Stegostoma tigrinum: one gene and its partner. The protein of the gene in region 1 purifies or fractionates together with the protein of each later gene. This does not show direct contact. Links are inferred from orthologs where the notes say so. Each region holds a gene or a part of one and is shown in the gene's direction. Other genes may lie near its edges.

Region 1 (10,115 bases):
GGGAATAAGGTGTACATTCATTCGTGGGACTGTTGCTAACTTCTTCAGGCATGTAAATAAGTTAATTGTCAGATTTTAATCAATATAATTGAATATTAATTCTGTAATAGCAATGCTTTTTCATTAAATTTATTAACATTTTAAAATAAAAGTGAGTTTTCATTCTTTCAGAGCTAGCTAACACTAAATGAAAGCAAATGTCTGGACACTCAACCATAATTTCAAGGACAGCAGGTAGAATAGTACAACATGATAATGATAATAACAAGATTACACAAGCACAAACAGCACAACACATCGATAATATTTATCAAGGTGATGTGTTATTTTCCCACATTGTTTTTCCTTGCCCAAAAATATGCTGTCCTGAGATTTTCTCACCCTTATATCCTCATTTTTGTTGAATTAAAACTCATTCATTTTCAGGTCACAAAGCTATGGAGATCCTGAGTTTATGTTTTCTTTTTGTTTAATTTTTAAATGTAATTTGAAAGTACTCGATGGCTGTGTAATGCTTCTAGGTTGTCCTGAAGATGTGTTTAAAAACATGATTTCGTGGAAAGTGAAATCAGCTGTCAAATCAGCTTCTGTGTGAATCCCTAATCCCTTGCAAAAGTGATGGTGAACTGCAAAAGTCCATGTGGTGTGAATACAGCTAGAATTGTGTTTGCAAGAGGGATCCTAGATTTTGACTTGGTGACAGTGAAGGAATAGCTTCATATATGGTTCTAAATCAAGATGGTGAGTGGTTTGGAGGGGAACTTGCAGGTTGTGGTGTTTCCATCATCTGCTACCATTGTCCATATTTGTGGTAGTTTGCAAGTTCGGAAGGTGCTGCTGAAGCCACCTTGAGTTGTTGCATTGCATCTTGTCAGTGGTACACACTGTTGCCACTGTGTTTCAACGGTGGAGGGAGTGAATGATGGTGGATGGGCTGCCAGTCAAATGGACTGATTGGTGTAAATGCTCTTCATTATAGTTGGCAGCACCATCCAGGCAAGGAGAGAGTATTCTATCACATTCCTGACTTGAGCTTTGTCGATTCTTGAAGGCTTTGGGACGTCAAGAGGTGAGTTACTCGCCATAAAATCCCAGCATCTGACCTGCTCTTGTAGCCATTGCTTTTATGTCATAGGTCCATTTGTGTTTTTGGTCTGTAGCTGTTATTTGGTAATTGTGCCTGCGTGGTATTCACGGTAATGCAATTGCATTTCAAGGTGAAATTGTTAGGTTCGCTCTCTCTTGAATCTTTCATTGCCTGGACAAGACCAGTTTCATGTCATCATGTAAAAGAGTGTTGGGGCCAGTGGCTGTACATTTCTTCTGTCCCTCACTGCGCTTAATCATCATGATAACTGGTACCTGGTTATTGTGATGATAGCAGGCTTTAACAGTGGTTATTTTGTGCAGGTTTTTTTTGAAGAGAGGTTTTAAGGCGGGATATCGAGCAGTCTAGCAGAACTACTAGACTAAAGTGCATGTATGGCCTTGAGGTTTTGTTTTAAAAAGTTGGAACTCTAGGTAATTCAAGATGGAGGATGGGAAAAACATTACGGCTGTAGGAGCTGCTCCCTTGATGTATTTTCAGTGTTGGTACTGATTTCCTCAAATTCTAGGAGCAATAATTGCTATTCTTTAAGCTGTTCGATTGTTTTGGAACTTTGGGAGGAAAATAAAATCAAAACAATGTCACTTTAAAAAGGAGGAAGAGAGACAAAAACAGTGATTCAAATGGAGAAAGAAACTTACACTGCAGTTTGACACAGCAGTAACCTGCACAGCTGCTGCCTTTGCTATCTAGTATCTCATATCTCTGGACATTTGGAGTTTGTTAGAATTACAACATTTAAAAGGCAACTGGATGGTATATGAATAAGAAGGGTATAAAAGGATATGAACCAAATGCTGTCAAATGAGACTGGATTAATTTAGGATATCTGGTTGGCATGGACGAGTTGGACAGAAGGGTCTGCTTCCATGCTGTAAAGCTCTATGACTCTCATAAAATGTGTTTTGCTTTAAATCTGGTAGTTTAACCAAGCGAATTGTATCTGAAATGCAACACTTAACGTTAACCTTAAAATAAAAAAAAAGTTAGAGTTTAGACTATGTTCTGAATGTTGAGTTTTGGTCTGGTCCATAACGCTGCACACTTAAGGATATAACACTGCTTAGATTTACGTGCAACATGTTAATGAGGATGTAAGTTTCTAACTATTCAAGTCAAAAGCAAAATAATTCAGCAGGTTGGTTTTATATCTCTAATTATACAGTCATGGTTTTCATATTCAAAATGTTATTTCCCATTCACATTCCAAAAAAACAGCGTCAATAATGTTAGACTATATTGAATGTAAAATAGGATTGCTTGTTAGAAATGGAATTCCTCCGATCAACAGTTGCGCTACTTTGTCAAGTTGTAGTTCTCTTGTAACATACATGGGAACAGGCCAAACAGCTGCTGTAATCAACATAATGGTCCACATATTTATAATTTTTTTTGCAAAAAGGGACTTGATTCCGATGCAGCTCAGTCAGTGGAAAACAGTCTGTTACAGGAGGAAACTAGTTCAATTGTGATGAAAGTTCATGATTTCCTTTGGAGACTTGCAATCTAAATTGGGAAGGGCCTTCAGTTTCTTCATTATGTATGTTAGGAAGGACTTAAGTTTCATTTTTGAGTTCAGTGAACAGGATATATGGAAACATACGAACATGCATTTAAAGTAGGACTAATTTGGGTAATTTGGGTGGCATGGATGACGTTGGACCAAAGGGTCTGTTTCCATGCTGTATGACTCTATGAAGAGTTCAGTGCTTTAATAAAACAAGGGTGTGGGGGAAAAAGTGCTGTTGTCTAGCAAGAAGCTGCCCTATGACACAGGGAGACAAAGACAGAGACATAGACAGGAACCAGCTCTTTTAGAAAGAGCGAGCCAGGCAGGAGGTGTACAGGTTTCTGCAAGAGAAGACAGGTCTATGTCTGTAAAGTCCTTGTTAACCTAGCAGTGTGCAAAGTGGTGTTCGGAGAAAGATCTCGAGTGGTTATATTGTCAGGAAGAGAAAGCTCCAGAAACAGAAGTCTGTGGAATAGGAGTTTTAAAAAATCTATGTTAGGAAATAAGTGAAGAGCGTTAGCAGTTTGTTTAAAACTCTTGGGAAGAGGTAATAGTTGAAGAAGTAGCATTGAATGAATTCAGAAGTTTGTTGCAAAGAAGCCAAGTCCAACCACTTAAATGCAACAAGAAACTTGAAAATCTTCACTGAATTTTCACTGGACTTTGAATGTCTGTAAGATATTGTTTTACTGTTGAGGATAAAGGGCTGAATTGTTTAAAAAAATGTTTCACAGTTCTTGTATGTATTTTTCCCCTGTTGTGTGTAATAAACATTGATATTCTTTAATAACAAGGCATAGAGCTAGATGAACACAGCAGGCCAAGCAGCATCAGAGGCAACAAAAACAAAGTTGCTGGAAAAGCTCAGCAGGTCTGGCAGCATCTGTGGAGGAGAAAACAGAGTTAATGTTTTGGGTCTGGTGACCCTTCCTCAGAACCGATGGTGGCTGCGAAAATGTCAGTTTATATGCAGAAAATAGGGAGGTATGTGGGGTAGGGAGTAAACAATAAGACAGAGCCCAAAGAGAGAGGAAGACAGTTGGACAGACAAAAGAATTGCTAACAATCAGGCTCGGAGGGTGAACAGTTGTTAATGGGGACTGTTAGTGACTAACAACAGAGGGTGTATAGTGACGGGCTATGTGGTAACAAGGCCTGGTGAGTGGGGTGGGGGGGCTGGGACATGGGGGTGTTTAGGCCGTAAAGTTATTAAACTCAATATTGAGTCCAGAGGGATGTAGTGTCCCCAAGCGGAAAATGAGGTGTTGTTCCTCCAGCTTGTGCTGAGCTTCACTGGAACATTGCAGCAAGCCAGAGGGTCTAGGACTGAAACGTCAGCTTTCCTGCTCCTCTGATGCTGCTTGGCCTGCTGTGTTCATCCAGCTCTACACCTTGTTATCTCAGATTCTCCAGCATCTGCAGTTCCTACTATCATTGATAATGGGAATTGTAGATGCTGGAGAATCCAAGATAACAAAGTGTGGAGCTGGATGAACACAGCAAGCCAAGCAGCATCTTAGGAGCACAAAAGCTGACATTTCGCGCCTAGACACTTCATCAGAGAGCCCAAAACATACAGAAATAAAATTTATGGTTTATCAATTTAGGTTTCATTGGATAGATTCAAATCAGACTTCACAATGTTACCATCAGTTAGGATCATAATTCAGGACCTACTTCAGTACAAAAATTAAGACTGGTATTCCATGTTGCTGCACAGTTGTTGTATGAAATGTTAAATATGTTGGGTAGATATAAAAGATTGCTTTGCAGTACAGGGGAGTTTTCCCTGCAGTTTTGGCTAATTTATCCTTCAGCCGATATTGTGAGAATAGATGATCTAGCCAGCATTACATTGTTATGAGAACTCGATCTCAAAAATCAAAATTTTCGTGTGGACACTGTGGACAGAGGGCTTTAAAGTGTTTCTCCCATCAGCAGAAGCAAAATTAGTAAAGCTTCTGACTGACCTATACTGGTCTGAATCATCTAGTATACTTCAAAATGGAGCTTCAGGATCAGCAGGACATTAACTCTTAAGTATTACTTCCTCCCCTCCCCAAACCTCTTCAGGTTCTGTTTTCTCAACTGCCGTTACTGGAGAGGTCAAATGATGCTCTTCACAGCAAACTCAGCACTACCTCCTCGAGCAATTGCTGATGGGGAATAAGAGCTGGTCCAGCCAGTGCTGGCCACATCTTGTGAGTAAATTAATCTGAGGCACTGTTGGAAGCCCAGAAACATTGATATTAGCGACTCGGAGGAGTTTACTCGTGCTGAATCGGCCATCCAGCTTTCTGTCTCGCGAGTTAATGAGGCAGAGAGCCAGCAGAGAAGACGGGGGGGAACGGAATTAACCCCTGAAGTGGCCTGTTAAATGACAAGAACGCCCACGCCAGGAACCCCTTTCACTCTGATTCGACTACATTCTCACATGGAGGCATTGGCTATGGGATAATAAAAGATGCTATGTAAATACGAGTCTGACACGGGTGATTTGGTGATGGGGCGGGGAAATCGTTCAGTTGTGTGTAAGAGCACTTCTGGACGGACACACACACAATATGCAAGTCGTTTGAAAGGGTCGGGGTTGGTGATGACGAATGTCCTGGGGAAAACAACATGGTTTGAACAGTGGGGTGAGGAACTTTCATTGTCTCCACGGCCATTCGTGAAAAGAATCCTATAATTTCAATGTGTAAACGGAGCGCAAAATAAAGTAAATCAAACAATAATTGTTCCGGGATGCCTATGTTAAAACAACACGTGATTGTACATTGCCACAAATAAGTTTTGATGGTACCTGTAATCTGGGTGACGGTTGGGTCACGCGCGCGGCCGTTCGGGTTTAAATCCCAGCTGGCCGTTGGTCGCGCGCACGCGGCCTAGCAGCGCGGCTGAAGCCTGGCCTTTTCCTGACAGGACATCCCCGGGTTTTGGAGGGGGAGAGCCTTGTCAGAGCCGACGGTCACGCGAAGTGACGGCTAGCGTTAGGTTGCCTGGTTACTTTATCGTCCTTCGCCACCATGAGCAAGAGGAAAGCGCCGCAAGAGACGCTCAACGAGGGGATCACCGATTTCCTAATCGGTAAGAGGAAGGGAGGAAGAGGCAGCGGTGGCCTGGGATCGATGTGTCGTTCCGATCCTCAGGGAGAACTAGGGAAATCGGGTTGTCATTAATCGAGAAGGAATGTCAGGACAGTGCAGACCTTCCCCAGCCGGTGTTGAAAGCGGGCCTTACTGTTTCTCCATTTTTAAATCTTTGCAATATTCAAATTTTTAACCCTGAACCCAAAGCAGAACGTAAAACTAAACCCCAGCTAAAGCAGCTAATCATAATTCTAACCCGAAATCCATTCCCGAAATCGATACCTACCCTGATACTAATACTATGTTGAATTTTTAGAGCTACAGCCTGAACCCACTCATAAACCAGATGCGCACCATTTCCAAAAGGCGTTTAATAAAGTACCTCATTAGACTACATTTCGAGGAGTCTGTTGTTTTGAGATAACAAGGTGTAGAGCTGGAATGAACACATGAGGCCAAGCAGCATCAGAGGAGCAGGAAAGCTGACGTTTCAGGTCTGGACCCTTCTTGGGAAGAGTCTAGACCCTTTGTTTTGAGTGTGAATAGAGGATTGGCTGACTAACTGAAATAGAGTTAGGATGAGGGGGGTAATTTCAGGATAGCAACTCCTGGAGTATTGCAAGGGCCACAATTGTTTACAATATATGATACCAACTTGGATGCAGAAAATGAGTGTACAGTAACCAAGTTTTCAGATGATGCAAAAATAAATGGGAAAGCGAGTGGTGAGGATAATACAGTCTCAAGTGGGACGTGGAGAGATTACATGAGTGGGCAAGATCTCGGCAGATGGAGTGTAAGTGAGGAAACGTTTAGTTATGTACAGTCCTAATAGAACATAGAACATTACAGCACAGTACAGGCCCTTCGGCCCTCAATGTTGTGCTGACCTGTGAAACCAATCTGAAGCCCATCTAACCTACACTATTCCATTATCTTCCATATGTTTATCCACTGACCATTTAAATGCCCTTATAGTTGGTGAGTCTACTACTATTGCAGGCAGGGCATTCCTTATAAGAAAATCCCTTCATACCCAGAGTCAACCCAGGGAACCTTCACTTGACTGCTTCCAACACCAGTACATCTTTCCTTAGATAAGGGGATGAAAACTGTTCAAAATATTTTAGATGTGGGCTGACTAAAGCCTTGAATAGTTTTAACGAGACCTTTCTGTTTTTAATACTCCATTCCCCTTGAAATAAAAGCCAATAATCCATTGTGTTCCCTTTTACCCACTGAACTTGGACATCAGCATTTTGTGATTCATGAAAAAGAATTCCAAATTCATCTATTGTGCAACTTTCTCTGGTTTTCCCCATTTAAATAATATTCAGATCTTCCATTCTCCCTAGTTTGGCAAGAGGACCAAAAGAGCAATCTGCTGAGCTTTTCTAGCAATTTTTGCTCTTGTTCCTGATTTAAAGCACCTGCAGTTCTTGTGGATTTTATTTTTCATGAAATAATGTTATTATACCACAGATGGTGTCAGACCTGCTGAGCTTTTCCAGCAAATACTGTTTTTGTTTCTGATTTTTAGCATCTGCGTTATAGAGTCATACAGCACAGAAACAGACTCTTTGGTCCATACAGCCCATGCCGACCACAATCCCAAATTAAACTGGTCCCCCCTGCCTGCACTTTGCACATATCCCTCCAAACATTTCTTCTTCATGTACTTTAAAATGTATTTTAAATGTTGTAACTGTACCCGTATCCCCCACTTCCTCTGGAAATTCATTCCTCACATGAACCACTCTCTGTTAAAAAAACAAAATGCCTCTCAAGTCTTCTTTGAATCTTTCTCCACTCCGTTTAAAAATATGTCCCCAGTCTTGAAATCCTCCACCCAAGGGAAAAGACACCTGTCATTTACCTTATCTATACTCCTCATGATTTTATAAACCTCTATAAGGTTACCCCTTAACCTCCTACGCTCCAGTCGAAAAAGTTCCAACCTATCCAGCATCTCCTTTATAACTTAAACCTTCTGTTCCTTGCAACATCCTGGTAACTCTCTTCTGAACCCTCTCCAGTTTAATAATATCATTCCTGTATCAGGAGACCAGAACTGGACATGGTACTCCAGAAGATGCCTTACCAATGCCACATAACGTCCCAACTCCAAAATATAAAGGTCTGAGCAATGAAGGCAAGCATGCTGAACACCTTAACCACCCTAATTTTACATGATGCCAGTTTCAAAGAATTATGTACCTGATTCCTGGTTCTCTCTTTTCTCCCACACTACCCAAGATCTATTTTTAATAGTATAAGTCTTGCCTTTGTTTGTTTTACCTACCAAAATGCAACAACTTGCATTTATCCAAATTAAACTCTATTTGTTACACTTCAGCTCATTGATCCAATTGATCGAGATCCCTTTGTAATCCTAGATAACCACCTTCACTATCTGATATATCACCAGCTTTGGTGTCATCCTCAAACTTATTAACAATGCTCTCTGTATTCGCATATCAATGACAAACAAAAGTGGACCCAGCACTGAACCCTGTGGAACACCACAGGTCACAGGTCTCCAATCTGAAAAAAAACAGCCCTCCACCACCTATGTCTGTCTCCTGCCATTAAGCCAATTTTGTATTCAGTTGGCAAGCTCACCCTGAATCCCATGTCATCTAACTTAACCAGTTAGTCTGCCATGCGGAACCTCGTTCTTTGGTTTTTATTTTTTGTAGAAATGCTGAATATTATTTGAATAAGTGGAGAAAGATGCAGCACAGAAGGATTTGGGTGTCCTCACGCATAGATCCAAAATGCTAGCATTTAGATGGCCCAGTGGCTGGGCGGCTAGTGCTGCTGCCTCACAGTTTGAGGGACTCTGGTTCACTTCCACCCTGGGGAGGACTGTGTGGAATATGCACATTCTCCCCATGTCTGCGTTGATTGTCCTCTGGGTGCTTTTGTTTTCTCCCACAGCCCAAAGATGTGCAGGCTATGTAGACTGACCAAAGTAAATTGCCAATAGTGTTCAGGGATGTGCAGGCTAGGTAGAATAACCATGGGAAATGCAGGGCTGCAGGAATGGGTTGGTGGGAGGGGAGTAATGCTCTTTGGAGCATTGGTGCGGACTTGACAGACCAAATGGCCTGTTTCCATATTGATTCTGTGAAGTTCAGTGGGTAATAGGGAAGCAAATGGAATGTTGGCATTGATTTCAGCAGGAATGGAGTACAAAACAAGGACTTCTTGATAAAACTGCACAAGGCACTAGGTAGACCACACTTGGGATGGTGTAAACAGTTTGTTTATTTAAGGAAAGATGTACTGTCATCGGTGGCTGTCCAGAGAAGGTTCACTCAGTTGATTCTGGGTATGGAGGGGTTTTCTTATTTGAGAAGTTGTATCAGTTGGGTCTGTACTTACTGAAATTTAGAGGAATGGGAGGCTAACTTATTGAAACCTACAAGATTCTTAGGACAAATGATAGGGTAGATTAAATGAAGTTGTTTGCTTGTGTGGGTGAGTCTCTCACCAGAGGGCGTAATCTCAGAGTAAGGAGTCCCCCAGTTATGACCCAGATGGAGAAGAATTTCCTCTTACAGATAGCGAACCTATATCATTCTTTCCTGTAGTGGGTTGTAGAAGCCGAATTATTATGTGCATTCATTGCTGAGAGAGAGATTTTTAATCAGTGTGGACATTGATTATGGAGAAAAGGTGGGAAAGTGGAGACAAGAATTGAATGGTGGAGCACACGCAATGAACTGAAGGGTTGCTTTTGCTCCTCCATTTGAACTCCAATCTGAACCCTTGACCTAAACATTGTAAAAACCCTAAAGCCAATTCTGCACCCACCTCAATCCAAGTGCAAGCCGAGGCAACAGTGGACATCCCAGTTTTGGCAAACAGCTTTGATTTTTTCATGAAATTCCCATGGGTGATTGTTTTTCTAAAATAATTTACACCTTTTCCCCCCTTGCCTGGCATGGGAGAAACCACCACCATAATCCCCTTGACACCTTCAAAGAAATTGTCAGAACTGTTTCGGCGCTGACAGCTCGACTCTGTTTTTCAAACGATCAATGGTATAGATTTGCCAACTCTGTGTGGAAATATCCTGAGACATGTTATCAAATGACTTTCCATCTTCAACTGTCTCACTGGCAGACCCCTCTCACTCAACATGTCAGTCTTCATGGAATCCCAATTCCAAGGCGTAACCTCACAATCATGTGATATTGATGTTGTGTCACAGTGTCAGCAGTCATTGTAGTTTCATCAAAGTCCAGTCCTGTTCTGTTGGAAGTAGCCACTTTTACGAAATTCTCATGACAAAATCGCTGCAATCGTGTCACATTTTACAAATGCATCCTTCTGATTCCTGCATGTAATTTGTTTTCTAAAAGCTCATGTGCTGTCCAAATTTGAAAGACGATTCCAAAGC
Region 2 (10,691 bases), on another chromosome or scaffold:
ATGAGCTGAGTTTGATCTATACATTTGATGCAGACTTTCAAGGGAAGATTTATCCAATTTTTGACCTTTGCTGCGTGGACAGAAGTGACTTAGCCCCTATCACGCTTTGTCGTGTATAAATAACTCCAACCGTACAGCAAAGCACATCATGGGTAGCATGTAACTTTATGATAAAAACTATTTTTAATCAACTTGTTCAGACATGTTGTGACACACATCTATGACAGGTAGGACCTGAACTCAAAAGTTCCAGCCCAGAGGTTGTGATCTAGATTCTCTGAACTTGCTTTATGATATCATGGAAGCTGCTTTCATGTCATACTTAATGCCTACTGATTTTATAACATGTCTTGCCGAATGAAAGGCAGTATTTAATTCCTGGGATCCCTCTTTCCAACCTGGCGGATCTCCTGGCTGGTCCAAAACACAGTTACTATGTTTAGATGCAAATTGATCTTTATTTTATTGGGCCTGTGCCTTTAAGCCTACTGATCTGTGTGGGGTGATTGTAATAAGGTTTCCAAAAGCTCAGAAAATGTTAATGTCAAGAACAATAATTAACTGCTGATAAATTTCTGCCTTGAGGTGAAAAGAACAATAAAGGGTTTGGTTTTCTATGTTTTTAAAGATAATTTCAACTTGTAACAAAGTATTGTTTGTATCACTAAGACTATTTTCTATGTTTCTAATTATGTCTGGATGTAACGTCTGTTTGATGACATCTGAAATGTGACAGATATGGCTTGGTTGCAAGGTATTTATTGTATGATACATACAAAATCCTATAAACAAAACATAAAATCTTATTGCACATAAGTAGCACATTTAGCCCATTTAACCTGTGCTGATTCCTTGAAGGACCTCTCCAATTTGTCACAATTTCTTGCTTTCTTCCCATTACCCTAAACATTTCTGCCCTGTAAGTATATATTCAATTTGCAGAGGGCTCTTGTCGTGCAGTGTTAATGTCCCTACCTCTGGGTCAGGAGATATGGATTCAAGTCCATTTTGCTCCGGAGGTATGCAATAACAACTGTGAACAGGTTGATTTGAAAATTATTATTAAATATGTTCCACTTCCCCAGATTAGTGTCATAGGCAAATATATTAATTTGCATGCAGGCTTACATTATTGCTAAACAATGTCCTTCCAATGGGGCGGCACGATGGTTAGCACTGCAGCCTCACAGCACCAGGGACCCGGGTTCAATTCCAGCCTCAGGTAACTGTCTGAGCAGAGTTTGCACATTCTCCCTGTGTCTGCATGGGTTTCCTCCGGGTGCTCCATTTTCCTCCCACAGTCCAAAGATGTGCAGGTTAGGTGGATCAGCCATGCTAAATTGCCCATAGTGTTCAGGGGTGTGTGGGTTATAGGGCGATGGGTCTGGGTGGGATGCTTCAAGGGGCAGTGTGGACTTGTTGGGCCGAAGGGCCTGTTTCCACACTGTAGGGAATCTAATGTGCTGTATAAAGCACATTGAACTTGTATTAAAAATTGCAATGATTTAAAAGGGCACCAAAGATTCTTAAACTACTGCTCCAATGCATTATAAATGCAGTAACAAAAAGTGAATTAATAAAATGAATGACTGCAAATACAATTGAACCACAATAGCACTTTGTACTGTTTTAACCTGTAGTACTCCTCAGAACTCACAGTGCAGATTATTGACTCATGGGGAAATAGAACTGGTAAAGCTGGTAGTGCTCATGACTTTTAATGAAATAATGAAAAATATTCTGTCATTGGCATAATTTAATTAATAGGCCACCTCTGTGTAGCCATCTAATTCAAGATGATGAACAGTCTCCCGAGACAAGAATGCCCAAAAGGAGAGCCTGAAGCACTGCATAGATGATCCATAGCTAGAAGTTCACACAACTGACAGGAAGGAAATCGCATAGGAGCTTCACAATGGAGATACCTGCAGGCGCTCGATTTAATACTTGAGAAAACAACATGCGCACAGCTCTTAGGGTCATCAGGAAAGAATTTAATCAGGCTGTGGCCTTCGCATTTTTCTGGTAGAGTCATGGTAGCGGTGACAGAGGGCCGGGCCTGCCTCTGGTAAGAAACTTGTTAAGAAAGCATATGGTGTTTTGGCTTTCATTAACAGGGGGATTGAGTTTAAGAGTCGTGAGATCTTGTTGCAGCTCTATAAAACTTTGGTTAGACCGCACTTGGAATACTGCATCCAGTTCTGGGCGCCCTATTATAGGAAAGATGTGGATGCTTTGGAGAGGGTTCAGAGGAGGTTTACCAGGATGCTGCCTGGACTGGAGGGCTTATCTTATGAAGAGAGGTTGACTGAGCTCGGTCTCTTTTCATTGGAGAAAAGGAGGAGGAGAGGGGACCTAATTGAGGTATACAAGATAATGAGAGGCATAGATAGAGTTGATAGCCAGAGACTATTTCCCAGGGCAGAAATGGCTAGCACGAGGGGTCATAGTTTTAAGCTGGTTGGTGGAAAGTATCGAGGGGATGTCAGAGGCAGGTTCTTTACGCAGAGAGTTGTGAGAGCATGGAATGCGTTGCCAGCAGCAGTTGTGGAAGCAAGGTCATTGGGGTCATTTAAGAGACTGCTGGACATGTATATGGTCACAGAAATTTGAGGGTGCATACATGAGGATCAATGGTCGGCACAACATTGTGGGCTGAAGGGCCTGTTCTGTGCTGTACTGTTCTATGTTCTATGTTCTAAGATGCCTCCAAGAGGCCGCCAACATCCAGACTCAGCAGGGAAGATTGTTGGTGATTGTGGTGTCAACAATCTCTTCCAACTTCATTTATTTGGTTGGCTATCTACCTGTGGTGGATAGGTAGCCATTGCCAAACTGTCCCGTCTTCAAATCACTAAGAGGCAGCAGTGAATTAGGTGGCGAACCTGATGCCCCAGGTTTTTCCTGGCCCCGTTTTAAAATCCATCTTCCTGGGCTAGACAAATTATTACCCATCCCTCCTGCACCAAACACTAGAGTTCAGAATCTGAACTGGCATGGCAGGGATTTGCTACCTTATGTACGAATGGAATGTTAAACTGAAGCTCCATCTGCCCTTTCTGGATGTAAAGATTCCCTATGCTGTTTCAAAGAGGAACAGGAAGGTCTTAGCCAATATGTAGCCCTCAATCAACATTCCCAAAACAAACTAATGGCTGTGAATAAAGCAAAGTTGAGATCATAGGTTATCATATTCTGCTCTTCTCTGCCTTTGTTTAGTTATGTCTCCATTTTTGCATTTGAAAAATGCAATAACCTTCACTGGAATAAAGCCATAATTAAACACTTACCTACTTATTCATACAACTGACAAAAAAAAGATTTTTTAAAAATTTTAAATTGGTGAAGAACACAGTGATATTTGATTTACTGGCTTCCTTTTATCCACTAAGTTTCTTGTTTCCTTGTCACTTAAGGGTATGCACTATTATTTAAAGGATTGTTCCAAAAGCATCTGCTGACTATGGCCCACCCCCTTGACCTGTCTGTCCTCCCTGGACTGAGCTATCCCCTCCCTACCTCCCCACCTACACTCACCTCTACTGGCTCCATATCCGCTTCTTTAACTTGTCTGTCTCCTCTCCACCTATCTTGCCTCTATCCATCTTCAATCCATCTTCCCCCTCTCCCCCTTTTCTGATGAAGGGTCTAGGCCCGAAATGTCAGCTTTTGTGCTCCTAAGATGCTGCTTGGCCTGCTGTGTTCATCCAGCTCCACACTTTGTTATCTCGGATTCTCCAGCATCTGCAGTTCCCATTATATCTGCTGATTATTTTTTTGTGACTGACGGCAGACTATTTGATCACAGGACAGGAATATCCCAATCCTCAACCAGCACATTCCAGAAGGTGTTAGACAGCAAATAAGAGTGGGAATCCTGAGCAATTTGATCTCACTCTACCCCTAGCTGAGACTAATTGTGGTCTACTATTGGTTCCTCCAAACAGAGATCGGGTAACTTGATGTAGACCTGAGATTGGACCAATGCCATTGCTAGTTTGTATCATCAAGTAATCTTTGTGTAAATCTGTACATAGAAACTTAGCTTCTTTTTACAAATGCCACAGGTAGGCCAGAGAAATCGCAATGTGAGAACAGTGATGCACATTGGAATCCTACCAATGGGTGGAGGTGAGATCTGACAATAGAATTTTATTTTGCATTATGACAGTAACCTGTAGTATATTCTATGACACATCATCATCCTTCAATGGGAGTTGTTATGAAGATATGCTATCAGAAATATTAATTTAGAATATCATTGTCTGGACATTTTTCAAAATCTTTGACTATTTGGAGAGAACACTTTGCAAGAAAAGGAGACTGACTGCAATGGGAAAATGTTTAATTTCCAAAAACTACAAGCTTCTTGGTTGGAGTCACTGAGTTTGCATTAGCTTCAGAAAGAGGCCACATATTGTATTTTTTGAGACTAATAAAACATATCAACACAAAAAGGATTGAACACAGAGCCAGAGAGAGAATTTAACTAGAGCAACAGCCTTCGCTATTCTCTGAAATCCCTCTCATCTCAGTATGAGAGTTGAAAACTCACTGGAAAATTCCACCACCACAAATGGAGAGTTCTGACAAGAGAATTTGAACTCAAAAAGTGAATTCAGTGAGCTAAAATTGATCCAGGAGGACACCCCAACACTAATTGTGCAACGTGACTTTGGCTTCAGACTGTCATTTGGACAAATTGTGAATAATTCTTTTTCCTGAGTTTAACAGTTCCTTGACCAAGGAATTTTGTAGGTAACAAAGCAGAGGATTTACGTTTTATTTCCCTGCCTTGAAGGTTGTTCATATGTATGTTAGTTTTCAACAAGGGCAGATGTACGTATTTGTATAATGTAAACTTTTGTTAAAAAAATCATTATAGCATTGCTTGAGCAAAATTATTTGGCAATAAATTATTTCTGGCTGACTTGATACTGAGTTAGATACGCTTAATCATAATTATTACCTTTGTTTTGAAATTCAAACTTCGTTCGGACAAATGAGAAGTGTGAAATAAGAAATCAGTTTACACCTCCTAACTGGATCACAATAGAAGTAATAGTTTAGTGTTTCTGAATTATATTTGTAGATCTGTACTCACTTCCTATTTAAGTCTAGACACGTGAGAAATGGTAAGGCCATATTTATTGCCCATGTCTAGTTTCAGAGTCAGTTGCCTCAAATTTCCAAGAGGTAAAGCAGATACCAAGGAAATAATCTGCAACTTTAACAAAATGAGTAATAGCAATCAGTCACCCAGTATTCAAGCCACCCAGTGAAAAAAACAGGCAAGGTTTACTTGAGTGATCAATGCACTCTGTGCCAAAAGTGTTCTGCCAGCCAAGATATACATGATTAAGAGTTTGCGGGTGACGGCAATTGTCTTTGTTCACACTGCACCAGATTTGCAAGCCACTCTTGATCTCTTCAATGCTACAAACAGGAGAATTAGCCTGTTCTTGAATGTTACCGCGGTCAATATAAATATCAGATTCAATTAGAATTTTTCTTCATGCCCTGCTAAACATTCTTTTTTCAACTCAATTCCATGAAAACTAATTATCATTTGTCTCATTTGCTACTTGAGGAATAGATTTGATGTATTTACATAGCAGCAGCTACATTTTGGAAGTAAAATGTCATAAAAGGCATTGGGCTGCCCTCAACATAAAGAGCAAATTCATAAGAGATAATGGGAACTGCAGATGCTGGAGAATCCAAGATAATAAAATGTGAGGCTGGATGAACACAGCAGGCCAAGCAGATCTCAGGAGCACAAAAGCTGACGTTTCGGGCCTAGACCCTTCATCAGACATAATCCTGCTTCTGAATTGGCAAACATATTTCAATTAGAAACAGAAAATGCTGGAGAACCACAACAGTTCTGTAGCACATATGGAGACAAAATCAGAGACGACTCTATTTCAGTTCTCTCACTACCTCGCTAAAAAGGCTGTTGGACCTGCTGAGTTTCTCCAACACTTTCTGTTTTCGTTTCAGATCTCTGGCATCTGCAGTATCTTTTAGAAATTGGATTAGAACAGGGATGTGTACATTAGGATATGGCAACATTTTAATTTCAAACTATGCTTTTTTTTAAACTCATTAGTGGGGTATTGCATTGCTGGTTTGTTGTCCAAACCTAGTTGTCCTTGAGAAGGTGATTATAGAATTGAATCCCCTACAATGTGGAAACAGGTCCTTTGGCCCAACAAGTGCTTACCAATCCTTGGAGCATCCCACCCAGATCCATTCCCTTATAACCTACCTAAACTACACATCCCTGAACACTACAGGCAATTGCATGGCCAATCCACCTAACCTACACATTTTTGGACTGGGGGAGGAAACCCACAAGGGCATGGGGAGAATGTGCCAATTCGGGCAGTCACCAAAGGGTGAAATCAAACCCGGGTTCACGTTACTGTGAAGCAACAGTGCTAACCACTGAACCACCATGCTGTTCCCAATGGTGAGCTACATTCCTGAACCACTGCAGTCCTTTTGGTATACATAGCCCCATAATGTTCTCAGTGAAGGAATTGCAGGATTTTGACCCAGTGACATAAAGGAACAGCAATATATCCTAGGTCAGGATGGTGAGTGACTTGGAGGGAACTTGCAGGAGCCGGTGTTCCCCTATGCAGTGTCTGCGGTCCTTGTCTTTCCAGATGGAAGTGGTGCTGAGTTTGGAAGCTGCTAAGGATCTTTGGCGAATTTCTGCAGTACATTTCGGTGCACAGCACACATTCTGCAGTGCATTTCGGTGTACAGCACACATTCTGCAGTGCAGTTCGGTTTACTGCTGCTACTGACCGTCGGTGAGGGGAGGGGACTGATTGCAGCCTACGCTCAGGGAGTTGTCGGGAGTGAGAGTCTCATGGTTATCTTGTTTCGATTTTGTGTCGGCCACAGCTCTTGAGGGAGTCGGGCCGCCCGGCACCTTTAAACGGGCGCCACGTCACAGCGGCTGAAGCAGGGACAAAGGGCGAGGGCCGGCTCTTAAAGGGGAGGTCTCCAGGCGGCGCGGAGAGCAGGCCGCAGCTTCATACCAGGTCAGTCCGAGCGGGCCCTGGCGCTACGGCCGGGGGTGGGGGAAGAAAACACCGAGCCTCGACCCAGTAGTCAGGAGAGGCCTGGCCCTAGCCCTCGGCTGAACGTCGTTCCCCCCGGGGCGGGGAGACGGTTACCACCAGAGGGCTTCACTCGCACCGGCTGGGAGCTGGTGTCTCTAGGCCTTGAGGCCTCGGGCCTCGATTTGGAGGCGGGTTCCGCTCTCGGCTTGTCCGCCGAAAGTCGCAGGCGCTGGCCCCGCGTTTAAACGGGACGGGCATCTCTTTCTCCCTCCCCCCGCCTCCCAAATTTAACCACCAAACACCCCACTCCTCCCGCTTCAATTTACAAACACGAATAAATATTAACTGCTACAGATAATGGGATCTGATCAAGTTCTGAAACTGCATTCACGGTATTTTGGTTACTCTTAAACTGGTGGGCGTGTATGTTTTAAAGCCCTTTGTTGGCAGCGTTTCTCCAGGATACTACAAAGTGTGTGGGAATGATAGCACCATGGGGCCAGAAGTCCGTGGTCACAAACCCAAATCAGGAAAGTCTGAGAAATAAACTGAGCTTTTCCTCTGCGAGGTACAAACCAAAAATAGGTTAAAGGTTTCCTAGCATCGGTGGCGACTCATCTAATTTAAAACTAGCCTTGTCTTTTTTTTCAGAAAGATCACATCGCTACAATTGAAAACTCTTGAAAATTGAATGCCCCATGCCCCTGAACCACGAAGCCGGGGTTATGTCCCATCCGCTCTGGACGTGTATAATAAATAACGTGTGAACAGGTTGCTGAGTAAATATCTAGACACTGGGAGTTACGTCTAGGCCGCCTGGCCTTGTGCTCCTGCCCTGCCATTCAGCAGGATCGTGACTGATCCTGTACCTTTGCCATTTTCTCCTGAGGGGAGAAGTCACCAGACCCGAAACGTTAACCCTGATTTTCTTTTCTGTTCTTTACAGATGCTGACAGACCTCCTGAGCTTTTCCAGCGACTTCTGTTTTTGTTCCATATTTTTCCAGCTTTCTTCTCACAATGCCTCCTAGTGCCTTTTAAAATTTTCAAATTTATCAGTCTGTGTTTTGAATATATTCAGTAATTTGCCCTCCACAGTCTGTGTGAAAGGAGCAGTATCTCCTCGGTCTGCCGTGTACGCGTGACAGTGCAGATACTGTGCAAATCGGTCAGAAATTGGCCCCTTTAAGTGCTGCTGGGGAAAGGAAAATTAAAGGTCGTGTGCATTCAAACACGAACAGCCTGTGAATGTTAGGAAAGCACTTTGAGGGAACGCTTGTAACAATATCACGGATGGGAGAATAGTTGGATAAAGGTTACGATGTTTATGAATTTTTTTAACCCCCCAATGCATGACCTCAGTGACTCCAACATTGCTTGAAAAAAGCAATATAACAATCTCGTGTAATCAGCTAGAAAAGCTCAGCAGGCCTGGCAGCATCTGTGAAGAAAAAAAAATCAGAGTTAACGTTTCAGTACTGGTGACCCTTCATTAGAACAGGAAGTTATGATTTTTTTTTCACCGATGCGCCAGACTTGCTGAGCTCTTCCAGCGACTTTTGTTATTGTTCCTGGTTTATAGCGTCTGCGGTTTTTTTTTATTGTGTAGTCTGCTTTGAGTTAATGCTTGTTGCACCCTAAATGTTACATATCGTGTCTTGCTCCTTTTGAAGTGTTTGTCAAGAGCCGGGCTGGAATTGAGCCGAAACTAAGCAGAAGCTGGTCCTTTTTTTTCTTTTGGAGCTTTCATAACTATGCACCAGGATATTAATGATATGAGGGAGCGATGGGAATGGAGAAACAGATGTCCAGTTTGATTATAAAATGTGAGGCTGAATGAACACAGCAGGCCAAGCAGCATCTCAGGAGCACAAAAGCTGACGTTTCGGGCCTAGACCCTTCATCAGAGTCCAGTTTGATTGCAGTGTGCACTTGGTTTTTTGCTTGGCCAGTTAGCTGCCATCCTTCCCTTCCTAGGTTTACTTCTATCGCTTTAATTCCCCAGTGAGTTGGTGAAGGTGGCATGAGCCATTGAGGTGAATGGCACTGAGGCTAAGCATTCCCAGTTGGCTGTAAGTGGTGGTGAATGGGCACATGATTCATTTAAGGGATAATATGATCCTGAGGTTTAAGAGTTGTTATAAGATAGATCTCAAGCTTAATAGCTCTAATTGTCCCAACATCCATAGTCTTCTGAGGGGCAAATTGCAAATTTTTAATACTCATTTGTATATGTGTTTTATGTTGAGAAGCGCGAACTGATTTTTCTCTATAAAGCCAACTCTGATTTTAGAAATTGTTTCCTTGTTCAGAGGAAAATATTTCCTTGTATTATCCTGTTGAATCCTTTTAACATTTTAAAAACTCTAAGCTAGGTTTTGGCAGCTTGCTGTATAGTATAATATGTTAAATTAAAGAATCATTATGATAAGTCAGCATTGAGGTATGTACCCAAGTCACCACCCTATAGCCTCTGCTCCATTACAAATAAAGATCTGTCCCATTGAAAATAAAGGCCAATATTTGTTCGTATTTTTGCAAGCTTTTTGTACCTATTCATTACTATTAAATAATTCATACACATTGGATTTCCAAATCTTTTTGTTTCTGTATAGGTCCACATTTCTTGCTCTTTCTTGGGGGGAGGGGGGAGAAAGGCCTCTTTCTTGAGTCCAAAATAGATGGCCTTGTACTTGTCTGGAGCAAATTTCATGTTCCATTGTTTAATACACCTTCCTACATTTGCCCCTTTAATAATGGACTGTGCCATGTTAATCAATTGGAAAATATTGACGATTTATGATGGTGGTTAATAGATGAAAAGATACCGTGGGTGATTTGGTGGTGGGGACAAACAAAATGTTCAGTTGTATGTAAGGACACTCTGGATACAAAAGAAAAAATGTTTTTTGGAACTTCTTGCACTACTTAAAATGTTTTTTCTAATTTAGTGTCATCTACAGACGTATAAAATTCTTTATTTCTTAAATCACTATAAGGTGTGGCCAATAGTTTCTGATCTCTAGGGAACATGTTCACACATTTGCTAAAAAGAGCTCTTCTGTCTTGTGAAATGGATCAGTTACCTGTTTTGAAGCTTGTTTTAGTTTAAAAATTGATAATATTCAAGTAAAGTTTGTATGAGAAAGTGTTATCTGCTCCAAATGTCATGTATGCAAAGGCTGCAACTGTCATGGGATGTCACTCCAAAACTGACAGTTTCAGGCCAGACCAAGTAAACAGCATGCAGGACAACTGAAAAGATTCTGTTCGTGTTCTGCTTGTGCTTCAATTGTATTATGTCCACTTGAAAGATAGGAAACATTTGACAAACGGTCCATCTACCTGTCTTATAAAGAAGTATCACAGATAGTTTGAAAGAACTGCTTCAATCTAGTGTTGTGATCTTGTTGTGAAGTGTTCAATTGCTGCAGCTTTTCCTAATCTAGTATCTCCCTGCTTCTGTTTTGCTTTGCTTTCACTTCACTGCAGCGATGACACTCCACGGTGGGAAGGGAAGCCCATTTTGTGCTGGTCTCTAGACTGTTAAAAGTTTCTGAGAAAGATGAAAATGCTGACCACTTCTTTCACAAAGAGTTATTTGTGTAAGATA

What was found.
Region 2: the proteins of polb (region 1) and lig3 purify together in Homo sapiens (affinity purification with mass spectrometry; 3 studies listed by BioGRID and IntAct, counting the BioPlex papers as one, with this or other methods). This does not show direct contact. The link is inferred for Stegostoma tigrinum from reciprocal best matches to the Homo sapiens genes POLB and LIG3.

The regions. Positions count from the first base shown.
Region 1 is NC_081393.1:16,182,745-16,192,859, forward strand, and holds the start of polb (DNA polymerase beta), read left to right. Parts: upstream 1-5,472; 5' UTR 5,473-5,644; coding exon 5,645-5,705; intron 5,706-10,077; coding exon 10,078-10,115.
Region 2 is NC_081380.1:10,339,141-10,349,831, reverse strand, and holds the start of lig3 (DNA ligase 3), read left to right. Parts: upstream 1-6,749; 5' UTR 6,750-7,058; intron 7,059-7,730; 5' UTR 7,731-8,393; intron 8,394-10,691. Other genes in the region: E3 ubiquitin-protein ligase TRIM50-like, read left to right, coding at 1-119. UniProt on the Homo sapiens protein: Isoform 3 functions as a heterodimer with DNA-repair protein XRCC1 in the nucleus and can correct defective DNA strand-break repair and sister chromatid exchange following treatment with ionizing radiation and alkylating agents.